3 linked regions of the Coturnix japonica genome follow. The protein of the gene in region 3 binds, or shares a complex with, the protein of the main gene of each other region. Links are inferred from orthologs where the notes say so. Each region holds a gene or a part of one and is shown on either strand. Other genes may lie near its edges.

Region 1 (3,949 bases), on a different chromosome or scaffold from region 3:
GAATCACAGAATTGTAGGGGTTGGAAGGGACCTCTAGAGACCATCGAGTCCAACCCCTCTGCCAAAGCAGGCTCCCTACACCACATCGCACAGGCAGGTGTCCAGTTGGGTCTTGAATATCTCCAGAGAAGGAGACTCCACTGCTTTTCAATAACACAACATTCTCAAAACACTACTGGGCATTTGTTTTCTTCTTAGTACCCCTTCTGCAGTCTTCTAATTTCATACTTCACAAGAACATCAGCTTAGTGCGAGCATTTCATAACAATTCATTTGCAGCGCTCTGCTGAGACTTTATTACTGACATTAGAAGAATTAAATGTAGATTTAGTAACATTAACTGCTTCTGTGAAAATGTAATTGGCTGCACAATTAGAAACTGATGTTTTAATTTCTCCCTCCAGCTCTTCTCTTTTGTCTATTACACTGATGCCATAAGCATTGTTCCTCTATTGCCTTGGTTGAGCTGCCAGTGGACATGCCTACTGTCCTACTGCCACATCCCAGTAAGCATGAGGATAAGCCCTTACTGCTTAAGCTCTCCTTCCAAAACAACCTGTAATCATCATACATTATCATTAGTGGCCAGCCAGGAAGGTTCCTGCTGTGAATGTTAGGCCGGAGGAGGCTAGGAGCACCTAATCTAGCTGTAGGTGCTCCTGTTCATTACAAGGAAGTTGGAGTAAATGAACTTCAAAGGTTCCTTCCAACTCACAACAGTTCTATGATTCTGTGGACATACCTCACCAAGCACGCTGCACCCGAGTGCCAGAATCTTCATCCACTCCACCTCTTCATCAAAGGTGTCCAACTCCAGGATAGCTTCCAGCTGCTCCTCTGGCAGGCACAAGTCTTTCCATTTTTCCTTCAGCTCTGCAACACTTACAGTGCCTTTAGCGGAAAGCTGTAAATACAATTACAGTGCCGCAATAAGAACTCTGAAAAAGAATGAAACTAAGAAAAACAACCCTTCCCAAAACGCATCAAATTTTTGACAGTCATCTACTAATCATCTGGCATGTTTTCTGTCTAAGACAAACACACACATTTGATAAATGTCTGGTTGTACCTGTTTGTGCAAGACTTTAAGGAGTCCCGGGGTCAAACCAGCATCCATCTTCTGTTTTGCTGAAGGTGTTTCAAGTCTCTCCTTCACTGGAAGGGGCTCGCCTTTGGACAGTGCTGTAAAGTACCTGAGTGAATGGGAACAGCAAGGCACTCCAGTACCTAGGATGATTAAACACTATGCCTTTCTTTTCAGTGGAAGACAGTTTCTAGACATCACATACTCCTTTTTATCATACTGTCATAATTTATGAGTAGTTTAACTTATTTTGATTAAGGCAGAAATAAATTTATTAACACCAAGAGTATGCTCGCACAACTGAAGCACAGTCTTTTCCCATTAGATTGATGAGTACCTTTCCAATTTATTTAGCTGATTTATTTAGCGTTCCTCCCACATGCTACCTGTGAAGCCCAACTGGCAATATACTGCAATGCTCACATAACCATTTTGTCTACAGGTCTACACACTCCAAAATAAAATTCAAGGACAGTGTAGAAAGAGAATTCACAGAATCACAGCATTGTAGGGGTTGGAAGGGACCTCCAGAGATCATTGAGTCCAACCCCCCTGCCAAAGCAGGTTCCCTACACCACGTCACACAGGTAGGCATCCAGGCGGGTCTTGAATATCTCCAGAGAAGGAGACTCCACCACCTCCCTGGGCAGCCTGTTCCAGTGCTCCATCACCCTCACCGTAAAGAAGTTCTTGTGCACATTTGTGCGCAACTTCCTATGCTGTAGTTTCATCCCATTACCCCTAGTCCTGTCCCCACGCACTACTGAAAAGAGACCAGACTCACCACTATGGCTCCCACACCTCAGGTATTTATAAACCTGGATCAAATCCCCTCTCAGCCTTCTTTTCTCAAGGCTAAACAGACCCAGTTCCCTAAGTCTCTCCTCATAGGGGAGATGCTCCAGGCCCTTCACCATCTTAGCGGCCCTCCGCTGGACTCCTTCCAAGAGATCCCTGTCTTCTTTGTACTGAAAAACTCGATATGAAATCTTTAAACTAAAAGGCTAAACCAAGTACTATACTACTATTAAAAGGCCAACAGGTTGTGTTATACACTGAAGAATGCAACACTGCTCTATACAGTCAACAGAAGCATTGGGTCTTTGTGGTTCTGTGCTGACAGTGCTACATGGTTATGAGGATGCCATACTTACGCAGCTGACCACTGCAAAACATCATGAGGCTGAGTCCTAATAGCAGCTTTGGTGAACTGTTTGATAATGTCTGGTAGCTCAGGGGGGATTTGGATCTGCTGAGCACAGAACAGGGTGTCTGGAAGAGGCATGGTCTTCTCAAGTTCAGTTACGTGGACCTGAAGGGATTAACAATAAAACAGATGTAGGATGACAACAAAAAACTGCCCGCACAATGTTTACACCCAAACTGCCCCCTTTCTTACTGAGCCTACCAGAGTACCTTAATCTTGATACCAAGCAAAAGCCTGCAGATGGAGCCCAACCACAGCTCTAAGCCCAGACTACTTCTGCTGTCAGCAGCTGCCTTTTGCTAAGTCTTGATCTTCCTCAAGATTAATGCAGCCGCCGCACCACCCCTAGCTCGAGGAAGCCGCTCAGCCCCGCCTCACCTTTGTTTGCGCCGCCGCTGCCCCGGCAACGAGCGCACCGTGACAGCTGAGGGGGCGGGCGGATGGGACGGCGGTTTGCGGCCCGCCTCGCTCAACCGCGGGTGCAGAGCCCGTGTTTAACCCGTGTTTAGCCTCGTTTGTGAGGAGGCCGAAAGCCACATCCAGCCTGGCCTTGAATGCCTGCAGGGATGGGGCACCCACAGCCCCCTTGGGCATCCTGTTCCAGTGCGTCACCATCCTCTGTGTGAAAAACTCCCTTCTAAAATCTAACCTAAACCATGCCCCTTTGGCACTGGCCACCAGTCAGGCATGAGGTATCAGAGGAAAAGAGCTCTCACTTACCTTGTAAAAGCTCATCTCCTTGTCTGTTTTTGAAGACAGTTTCTGTTCTTTATTTAAACTTTACTATAAGAATTCAGTTCGCTGTTTTATGTCTTTATTATTTCATCATTTCTTCTGGGAATCCCAGCCATTGCTCAGACCATACAGCACCTATACATCACAGTATCACAGTCTCACAGTCTCGTGCGGGTTGGAAGGGACCTTAGAGATCATCGAGTCCAACCCCCAACATAAGGCAAACCTAACAAGAACACGGGCTTGGTCACAGGAAACTTACAGTAGAGGTACAAACAAATGGACAGACAGTGAAGTAGAAGAAAAAGCCGTGTTGATCAGCCTGCTAGGCAGCAAGATCAACAAACCACTGCCATCTGTGTTGTGCAGGAAAGGGCTTTTCACTGAATTCTCTGAAGAATAACAGGGCTGCTGTGAACACTTTTATGAGGACCTTTGCTCAAGCATAGGGAAGGGAGAGCAAGGGAGGAATGCGCCCTACTGAGAAATGATGCAAAGTGCTGCAATCGGGGCTGGAGTTTGCATCCTACTGAGAAAGCAGCTGGCAAAATAGTTACAGGCACCAGAGGGCCCTCAGAACATAAACAAATTACTTAGGCTTTACCCAGTGGAGAAGGGGTAGTCAGAGAAAACATGTGAAGTTTTAACTATTTTTAATCAATATAAAAATATTCTGTGTAAAAACAGTCAAAGCCATGCTGCAGTTAAGTAGGCAAAAGATAGCTACAAAGCCATCTGACAGCTCGTGGATAAAGGCCTGTAGAACTAACACCAGCAGACGCTCAGTACCCACAGAGCCAGTGCAGCTAAGCTGGTAGACAACTCCAATCCCTCCCCCTTCACTACTTAAGATCAACAGAGACTGTAATGAAGTCACACACAGCTTCTCCCACTCAAAGAGTAATGCAAAACCACTGCACGCT
Region 2 (3,968 bases), on a different chromosome or scaffold from region 3:
AAAAATAGGGGTGTAGAAGATGGCTGCATATCACAATTTAGATTGATAGTTGTAGTTTTGGAATAAGTACTGTCATGCTGGCACAGGGTTTGGATAACCTGATTCTTAGCAGGTCTTTGCTGCACTGAGCACTGTGCGCTTGGTACCTGGTCTTTTACATTAAATAATTGTTCAGATATCTCTGCGTTCTGCTGCATGAACAATGTACTTCAGACCAATCAGAATAATGTAAGTCATTTCATTCAGAAGCAAGACAGTGTTTGTGATTGAGTCTGTGTCCTGTTTGACACCTGCTCAAAAGGCGAAGGAAGGCTGCTTCTTGTCTGAGAATATTAATACATCCATTCATAACACACATGACTATAAAGGGGCATTTTAAATCTTTGGCACTTTATTCACTCAGCACCACATAAGCAGCCTTTCAGAATGTACAGCCTAAGGACAGCATGAAGACTGTGGCCCAAATAATATCCCTTCAGATTGTAGTAAAGAACCGGTATAGGGTTAACTAGAACAGTCTTAGTCTTCCATTTGTCAGCAAGAAAATGTTTGAGCATTAATTCCATGTAACCTTTTTCTTTCCAAACACTTACCTCAGACACTCCACTCTCATCTACTTCCTCAACTGTGGGCAAATTAGGTGCTCCTGCTCTATCTGTAAGTTCAGCTATTGTCTTCTCATCTTCCTGTAGTGGAAATTCATTTTCAATTAGAAGTATTCCGTGTCATGAGCAATCGTCTACAGTGGATACTTTGAACATGCTTTGAAAATGTAGTTTAAGTATGAATGTAAAGACAATACTTCAGATGCTTGCTACACAAATGTGTTAGTGTGCAAATGGGGTCTTTGTGCATGTAAAGACTGTTTTTACAAAGGTTTCAGGGTTCTTTTTTGCTTCAGTTTATAAACGTGCATACTTCTGTTACATTTACAGTCATTCTTCTAGCTATGTGCTATCAATATCTCAACACAGTGCTCTAAAAATATCTCTATTCTGCTCCAAGTAAAGTTAGGAAATGTTTCACGTCTAAGTGTCAATGATCAATCTGTTTTACCAAAACAGCATCATATGACTATGTATTTATATGGAAGACCAAAAAATCAAGAGGCATCCCACCTCCAAGTGTTGGTTCCTTTTCCAGGTGTGGCAAATGGGCTTCACGTTGCCAGGCAGTAAAATGTAACTATCTAAGCATTCATGTTAGACACGTTCAAGTTCTAGTATTTTATTAATTAAAAAAAAATCTGAACTTAAGCTACATTTTATAATAACTTTATGCTCTGTTCTGAATAAAAGCTAAAGAAACCCAATAGAACAGATGAGAATTCAAGTCTAAAACCTAAGCTGGAAAGAAGCATTAAACGTTCTTCCCTAATGTTAGCTTTCTGTTTTGTTGTGTTCAAGGCTTCTGCCTTGTGTTCTGTATTTAGGGACTGGATCTGAATAAGAGAGATGATTAACAATATTTCTTTATCTTGACTAAGCTTTGGCTTAAACCTCTGGATCTTTCTGCTGCTCCTGCATGTTCTCTTCTTTATTCTGCTGTTCCATCTTCTCACGTTCTTGTTCCTATTGTAAAGAGAAGACAGCTGAAGATAGCGTATATGCTTTTGATACTCAGTTCCTCGTGCTCTTTAGTAGTTAATATTTATATCTCCTATACTTTGGATTAGGCTCTTTGAAGCTTTGCACAGCATCTATTATAGACAGACTAATCCATATAGATTCTATGGGAGGAAAAAATAGCTAAGATAGTTAACTGCAGAAGACAGTCTACTTATCCTAATCTAATTTTCTAACATATCTTTAGTTAGTTTCTCTTTAGCTTAGTCTCTTCATTTTTGGTAACATCTTGTCATGTAGCAGGTAAGTTTTTCTCCCCAGCTGCTCAGCTGTCCTTTCTAATTCCTTTCGAAATAATGATATTTTCAAAACGCAATGTTTAAGCACTTTTTGTTATCTTTTCCCTTTCAAGATCAGAATACAATTGTAGGTACTTTCCAACATTCTGATTCTCTTATGATTCTATGTTGATAATGACTACTATTGTAGTGAGAGCTACAAGTTGACCCAGCATCACACGCTACTATAATTATGAACAACTATTAACCTGCCGTTGTTCTTCAAGTTTCTGTTGTATCAGTAGCTCTTCTTCCTTCATTTTTCTTAACATTTCAAGTTCTTCCAGGGCTGCCTGCCGTTCTTTTTCCAGTTTGGCCCTTTCCAACGTTCTCTATTTCAGAGGTAACAAGAAATCAATGAAAAAAAAAGGAAACAAAACACAAAGAGAGATTATACAGCATCAGTTAGATTGACATGAAATGCTTTGCCCGAGGTAGACCCACCTTCTTTTCTTCTTCTAGTGTTTTCTTGTAGTTGTAGATCCAGTGTGCCAGGTACTCTATTGGGTCAGCGGGCCGACGCTCCACAACCTCCGCCAGACCCTTTTTCAAGCAGCTTCCCAGACATCTCCTCAGGTATTGAGACTCCATTCTCACCTACTGACAAACCGACAGATATTAGTCACCGATATCGGAATTCAGACAGCAGTTAGAGGAAGTGTTGACTGCATCACATCCCCAGTGTGATGTTGGTGGTTTTATCAAAGCTCATTTCATCAGGCAATTAATATGAGAAGGTGGTAGCGGTGCTGTCCCCCGTTCCCTACCGCTTCGCTCCTACCGGCCCGATCGCACAGCGCGTCCAACCGCGTTACCGGGCAACCGCGCTCCCGGCTGGATCCTGCGTCAGGCGGCCGGGCGGTGTCGCTGTCGTTGCGCTCTCGGCCCTTCCATCGCCGCCGCCATTTTGCGTCTGCTTCCGCCGGAAGGGCCGCACGCGATGGCGGGTGGGGGCGGCGTGCCGGCGGAGACCCGTGTGGGACAAGTGGTGCTGCCCGGCGATGTGCTGCTGCTGCCCGAGCACGGAGAGCCCGACCTCGACAAGCTGCCGCTGGGCACCAGCGCGGCCCCGCGGGGGAGGCTGCTGTGCGGGCCGGGGCTGCGGCGCTGTGCGGGCGGGCTGCTGGTCACCAAGTGCGGGCTGCTGCGGCACCGGCAGGCGGGCGGCGGAGCGGCGGCGGGCGGCGCCTACTGGGTGGACTCGCAGCAGAAGCGGGTACGGCGGCAGCGGGCGGCGGGGGGCGGTGATGTGCGGGACGAGCCCGCTGATCGCTTGTACCCGCTTGTAGTACGTGCCGGTGAAGGGAGACCACGTTATCGGCATCGTGACGGGCAAGGTGGGGGACGTGTTCCGGCTGGACGTCGGTGGTAGCGAGCAGGCCTCGCTGTCATACCTGGCCTTCGAGGGCGCGACCAAGAGGAACAGGCCCAACGTGCAGGTAACGCTGCCCGCCGGGAGCTTGCCTTTGTAAACGGTGTTTTTACCACTCGGACCATATAAACGAGGAACGTGACTTTTTTCACAGAGCTTTTGTCATGGCCTGTACGGGGTGTCCCGATGAGGCCGTGAGTTTTTTCTGTTTTCTCCGGAGCTTTTTGTGCTTCTTCACTTCTGACCTTACACCTTTCCCATCGGTTAACAGTGGCAGGTGCTACTCGTGCAGTAACGTGGGTCCCAAGGGGCCACCCTGAGGCTTTAAAGCATCCTCTGAACGCTGGTGCTGGTAGAGGAGGGTTTGCTTTGTAGCATTTACAAGTTGTTTTGTGATATGTGCGTTCACCAGAAACACTGTCAGCATGGTGTAAAATGGGCTGTGATTTTAAATGGAATAGACTGGTATGGCTTCTGGTGCGCCTTCTGAGTAAAGAATTGTTTCCTAACATGTAACCTTTATCTCCCCTCTGTTAATTCAAAGCCATTCCCCCTTGTCCTGTCACTACTAGGCTATATAAAAAGTCACTCCCTATAAGCACTGGAAGGCTTCGATGGGGTCTATCCAGAGCCTTTTCCAGGCTCAACAAGCCTAACTCTCTCAACTTTTCTTCACACAAGAGGCGCTCCGGC
Region 3 (3,944 bases):
AGTGGGCATGAGGATCAGGAAATAAAATAGAAGAAGGTCAGCAGAGCATGCTGTAGATAGGAAGTTTGTTATTACTTAGAGCCTTGTAGAAATAAGATCTTTAAAGAAAGTAGTGAGGTAGCAAATACATGAAAGCAGAAATGAAGGCTTGAATTGTGTTAGTCAGAAGCAATATAAAGTTAGCTCGGATTACAGGCGTGTAGGCAAGCTGCAGCAGAGTCGTTAGCTGTAAGAAATGGAGCAGGGAACGGGCTCACAGGAGCGGAAGTTTGCTTGGTCACAGGATTTCCGTCAAAGACACTTTGCACTGCAAAAGCAAGCACGGCTGCAGCACGTTCTGCGTGTGGGTATCCCAGCCTTCATCGTAGGAGACAGAAGCAAATAAAAATGATGTCAGTGGTGGACAGAAGTTGTTTGTGTGGCAAATGAATAGCCAGTCAATGATTACTACTATTTTTTTGGAGTTCAAAGTTTGAAAACAGTATCTTTTCCTTAAGAACATCATTTCTTTGCTACTAGAATGCATCTGCAGCCACAATCTTGTTATTATAGTGTTATTATATTCCATGCCAGCCCAAAATAAGACAACCAAGGCTTGTTAAACTGCTTAACAGGTCAGATACAGCAGCAGAGCTGTGCCCGGAGAAGTATTCGGGACTTAAAATGGTTTGTTGCATTGTAATTAAAATTTCAGGTTTTGTTTGTTTCTTTTCTTAGCTCTTAATAACATCCCTGGGCTACAGAAGTTAGAGAGGACGCTTCAAACCAGCCTTTTAGTCATTAAAGTAGCTTTAAAAGCGCTACAAAGATACCATGCGTACAATAACAGTATCAACACGGGGTTAAAAGGTCGGGTCTATGGAATTTAAGGATTTAGAAGAAACCTTTGAGATACTCTTAGCGTGTAAAGCTACTTCTTTGTTAGGGAACACACGATGTTATTTTCTCTTAATGCGCGGGGTCCCTTTAAATGTGCAACTCTGCATTATTAAACGGTCGTGGGAAGTGTAGCAGGAGGAAACCCCGGGTAATTGGCTGCAGCTTCAGATGCAGCAGCTCGCTCATTGGAGAGCAGAGGATTCTCTGAGTTGCTAAAATTAGATGATCTCCACCCTCCAGAAATGCTTCTGGAAACAGCAAGGAGGAGAAATTGTGACACAGAAGGATGGGGAGTGCACGGGACACTGCTCATGGGGAGGCTGCAGCAGACAAGGATGCACGGACAGATATTGATGCATTTTTTTTTTCCTATCTTTTTTAACTGAGAGCAAAATGCACCCAGCTAAAGGAACTGCGAGAGATTAAAGTCAGCAGTATTCTGTGAGGATATTAAATTCAACGTTTTTTAAGTAATAATCGGAAATATTCACTGGGGCTGAGGGAGGCTTTTGAGCTGCTAAGCCTGGGGTCAGCCTGTCAGCCTTGTAGGCGTTTGGTTTGCAAAGAGAATTAACCCTGAACTAAAAGGAAAAATAGATGAACTCCCAGATCTTTCTAGGAATTTATTTCTCACAAAACACGTCTTTCCCTTATCTGTGAGCAGTTGCTGCATTTACAGTATCTCCGACTGCTGGTTGAGCTCTCTCTGTTTAAGAAGCCGACATGAGTGCTTGTCTCTTGGTCCATCTCACCCCAAGGGCTCAAATGGAACATTAATTCCAGCTGGATGTGACAAACAGATGTCACCCGGGATCCCATCACTGCTGGCAAACACACAGCAGTGGAAGAGGCCTGAATGTGAGGAGTCCATGGGCTGGTGCTGGCGTTATCGCAGCCACCGGGCTGTGCTGAGCCGATAGCAGCTGGCAGGCCTCAGCGGGGCGGCGGGCTGCTTGTTTCTGTGTTAAAACCGGGTAACACCGGGGACAAAATGCCTTTCAATCCAAAGTGCTGAGAAACTGTGTTCTAGAGTTGGGAATTGAGGTCAGCGCCCGCTCTGTTGTGAGCTGCGGGTCCGACGGGAAATAAACAGGAGGTGCCGTGCGTGCTGCCGCCACACGGCGAGATTTAAAGAACCTGCAGGGGGCTTTGGCAATGAAAAGTTTGTTTCTGTTCCAAAACACCGGTTCTACAGCGTAACCTCTGTTCATGAGCGTCAGCTGTGAGATATTGCTTTCAGCGTGGAGTAAAACCGACAGAAAGCTGTGTCACAGGATTAACAACGCATCAGATCCCCAAAACAAGCTATTTTACTCCTTTCCTTACGCTCTTATCACACCTAGAGCTCAGGAAAGAGGCAAATGAGATCCGGAAAGCGCGGTTGCCGAGGGTGCGGCCTCCCCCCGCTCAGGCAGCGCCGCTCCCGGCCGCCATTTCTGCTCCACCCCCGCACACGCACGCAGCCGCCCGCTGCCAGGGCACGGCCGCCATCTTGTGGCCAATGGCAGCTGCCCGCATTGCCCTGCCGGCACCTGGCAACGGGGCGGGCACGGAGGAGCCGTTGGTGACCGGGAGCTTTCCGTGTGTGTTTGCGTGTCTTCAGAGACTCACGGGCACGGAGGCCAAAACCCAGGGAGAACCGTGTCTCAGGAAACCATCCCACGTTACTTACACTATTCGGAGATAAACGTTGTCATCAACTGCTGTCGTTGTAGGGCTAAGAAGTTCTAATGCAGAAAGATGGAGAGGCTCATGCCAGAACCTCAGATTTTTGTGGAAAAAACACTGGCTCTCATCAAACCTGATGTTGTAGATAAGGAGGAAGAGATAGAGGATCTCATCCTCAGATCCGGATTCCTGATTGTTCAGGTAAAAAGCTGCGTTCCTGAGATAACAGCTGCAGTTGGTGGGTCACGTCAATGGTCTTCTTAACTTTCAGCAGTCAGTTCAATAATTAAAAGCTTCTGTTGCCCAAAAATCGGTTTATATTTTTCACGTCATCAACCACAACTCCCAGATTCCTCGAGGATACATTTCGTTGGTGTGTGACATGGAAGAGAACCCACCAGACTTCGCTGACAGAAGAAACCCCATACTTCCTTCATGAACTGGGTTCATTAACAAATGAACTCAAAAACAAAAAGCCTTCTTCCATGTCCCCCCGTGGGGTTGGGTTGGTCGCTGGGTGCCGCTGTCGTCCTCATCGTGTTTGCTTTCTTCTCTTCCTCCTCCTCCCCCTCCTAGTAGTGTGGAGGCAGCACCTTCGGCACCGAACTTTGAGGGCACTGGCTGAGCAGCAACCAGGCTTCTAGATACAAGTATTACATGTATATGCTTCCCTAAAACTGTCATCTTTCGTAAATGCCTTGAAAAGTTTGAAAAGAGTTTGAAAAGAACTTGTTCTTTTTTAATTTCTTCCTCTACATTTCTGTTTGTTTTAAGTATAGGAAATTCATCAGAAGATTAGAGTTGTGTGTGTGCGTGTGTGTGTTTTGTTTTCTTTCTTAATGAGAAGAGCTTTACAGTCATTAACTTTTGACATTGAGGCTGATAGGAATCTGAATGCTCAGCACTCTGTATCACATTAGAGCAGGCTCAAAGAAAGGAGTTTTTAATAAGTTAATTTCTCTCCAGGCTGCCCTGTGCCCTCTGCTGGATAACCTGTTACACCTGGCCTAATTCTGGCTACCTGCAGGCAGGATAGCTATAGTGAAAATCCTAAAGCACCGAATGAAAGAAAGAACAATTGTATAATTAATGCTGCGGGTATTAATTATAACACAGAAACCTCTTGGTTGGTTGCTTCTTTGTTTTGTTTTCTTTTCATTGTTTGTTGTTTCTGTTGTTGTTGTTGCTTTGTATCTCAAGGGGGACCAAATCTGAGAGAATCAGACTAAGCTGGGAAGTTACCCTGTACCTCTTCAGCTTGCACTTGAAAATGTGACTGCCTCCAAAGAACAGTGTGGTACCTGAGGTAGCAAACCAGCTCTATTTAGTAAACTTTTTTCTTTCTCTTCTCTTTTACGCTTTTCTTAGAAACGGAAGCTCCAGCTGAGCCCAGAGCA

Evidence for each region. The genes of interacting proteins can lie anywhere in the genome.
Region 1: NME5 (region 3) and ROPN1L share a complex: the UniProt entries of both Homo sapiens proteins name them as parts of the axonemal radial spoke complex. The link is inferred for Coturnix japonica from reciprocal best matches to the Homo sapiens genes NME5 and ROPN1L.
Region 2: NME5 (region 3) and DYDC1 share a complex: the UniProt entries of both Homo sapiens proteins name them as parts of the axonemal radial spoke complex. The link is inferred for Coturnix japonica from reciprocal best matches to the Homo sapiens genes NME5 and DYDC1.

The regions. Positions count from the first base shown.
Region 1 is NC_029517.1:52,308,345-52,312,293, reverse strand, and holds the start of ROPN1L (ropporin-1-like protein), read right to left. Parts: upstream 2,801-3,949; 5' UTR 2,670-2,800; intron 2,664-2,669; exon of another isoform or gene 2,484-2,663; intron 2,397-2,483; 5' UTR 2,370-2,396; coding exon 2,239-2,369; intron 1,194-2,238; coding exon 1,070-1,193; intron 905-1,069; coding exon 743-904; intron 1-742. UniProt on the Homo sapiens protein: Functions as part of axonemal radial spoke complexes that play an important part in the motility of sperm and cilia. Important for male fertility.
Region 2 is NC_029521.1:3,511,334-3,515,301, reverse strand, and holds the start of DYDC1 (DPY30 domain-containing protein 1), read right to left. Parts: upstream 2,801-3,968; 5' UTR 2,719-2,800; exon of another isoform or gene 2,671-2,718; intron 2,504-2,670; exon of another isoform or gene 2,501-2,503; 5' UTR 2,495-2,500; coding exon 2,348-2,494; intron 2,236-2,347; coding exon 2,113-2,235; intron 1,572-2,112; coding exon 1,500-1,571; intron 687-1,499; coding exon 396-686; 3' UTR 1-395. Other genes in the region: EXOSC3 (exosome complex component RRP40), read left to right, coding at 2,844-3,119, 3,193-3,342. UniProt on the Homo sapiens protein: Functions as part of axonemal radial spoke complexes that play an important part in the motility of sperm and cilia. Plays a crucial role during acrosome biogenesis.
Region 3 is NC_029528.1:3,795,528-3,799,471, reverse strand, and holds the start of NME5 (nucleoside diphosphate kinase homolog 5), read left to right. Parts: upstream 1-1,144; 5' UTR 1,145-2,619; coding exon 2,620-2,748; intron 2,749-3,915; coding exon 3,916-3,944. UniProt on the Homo sapiens protein: Functions as part of axonemal radial spoke complexes that play an important part in the motility of sperm and cilia. Does not seem to have nucleoside diphosphate kinase (NDPK) activity.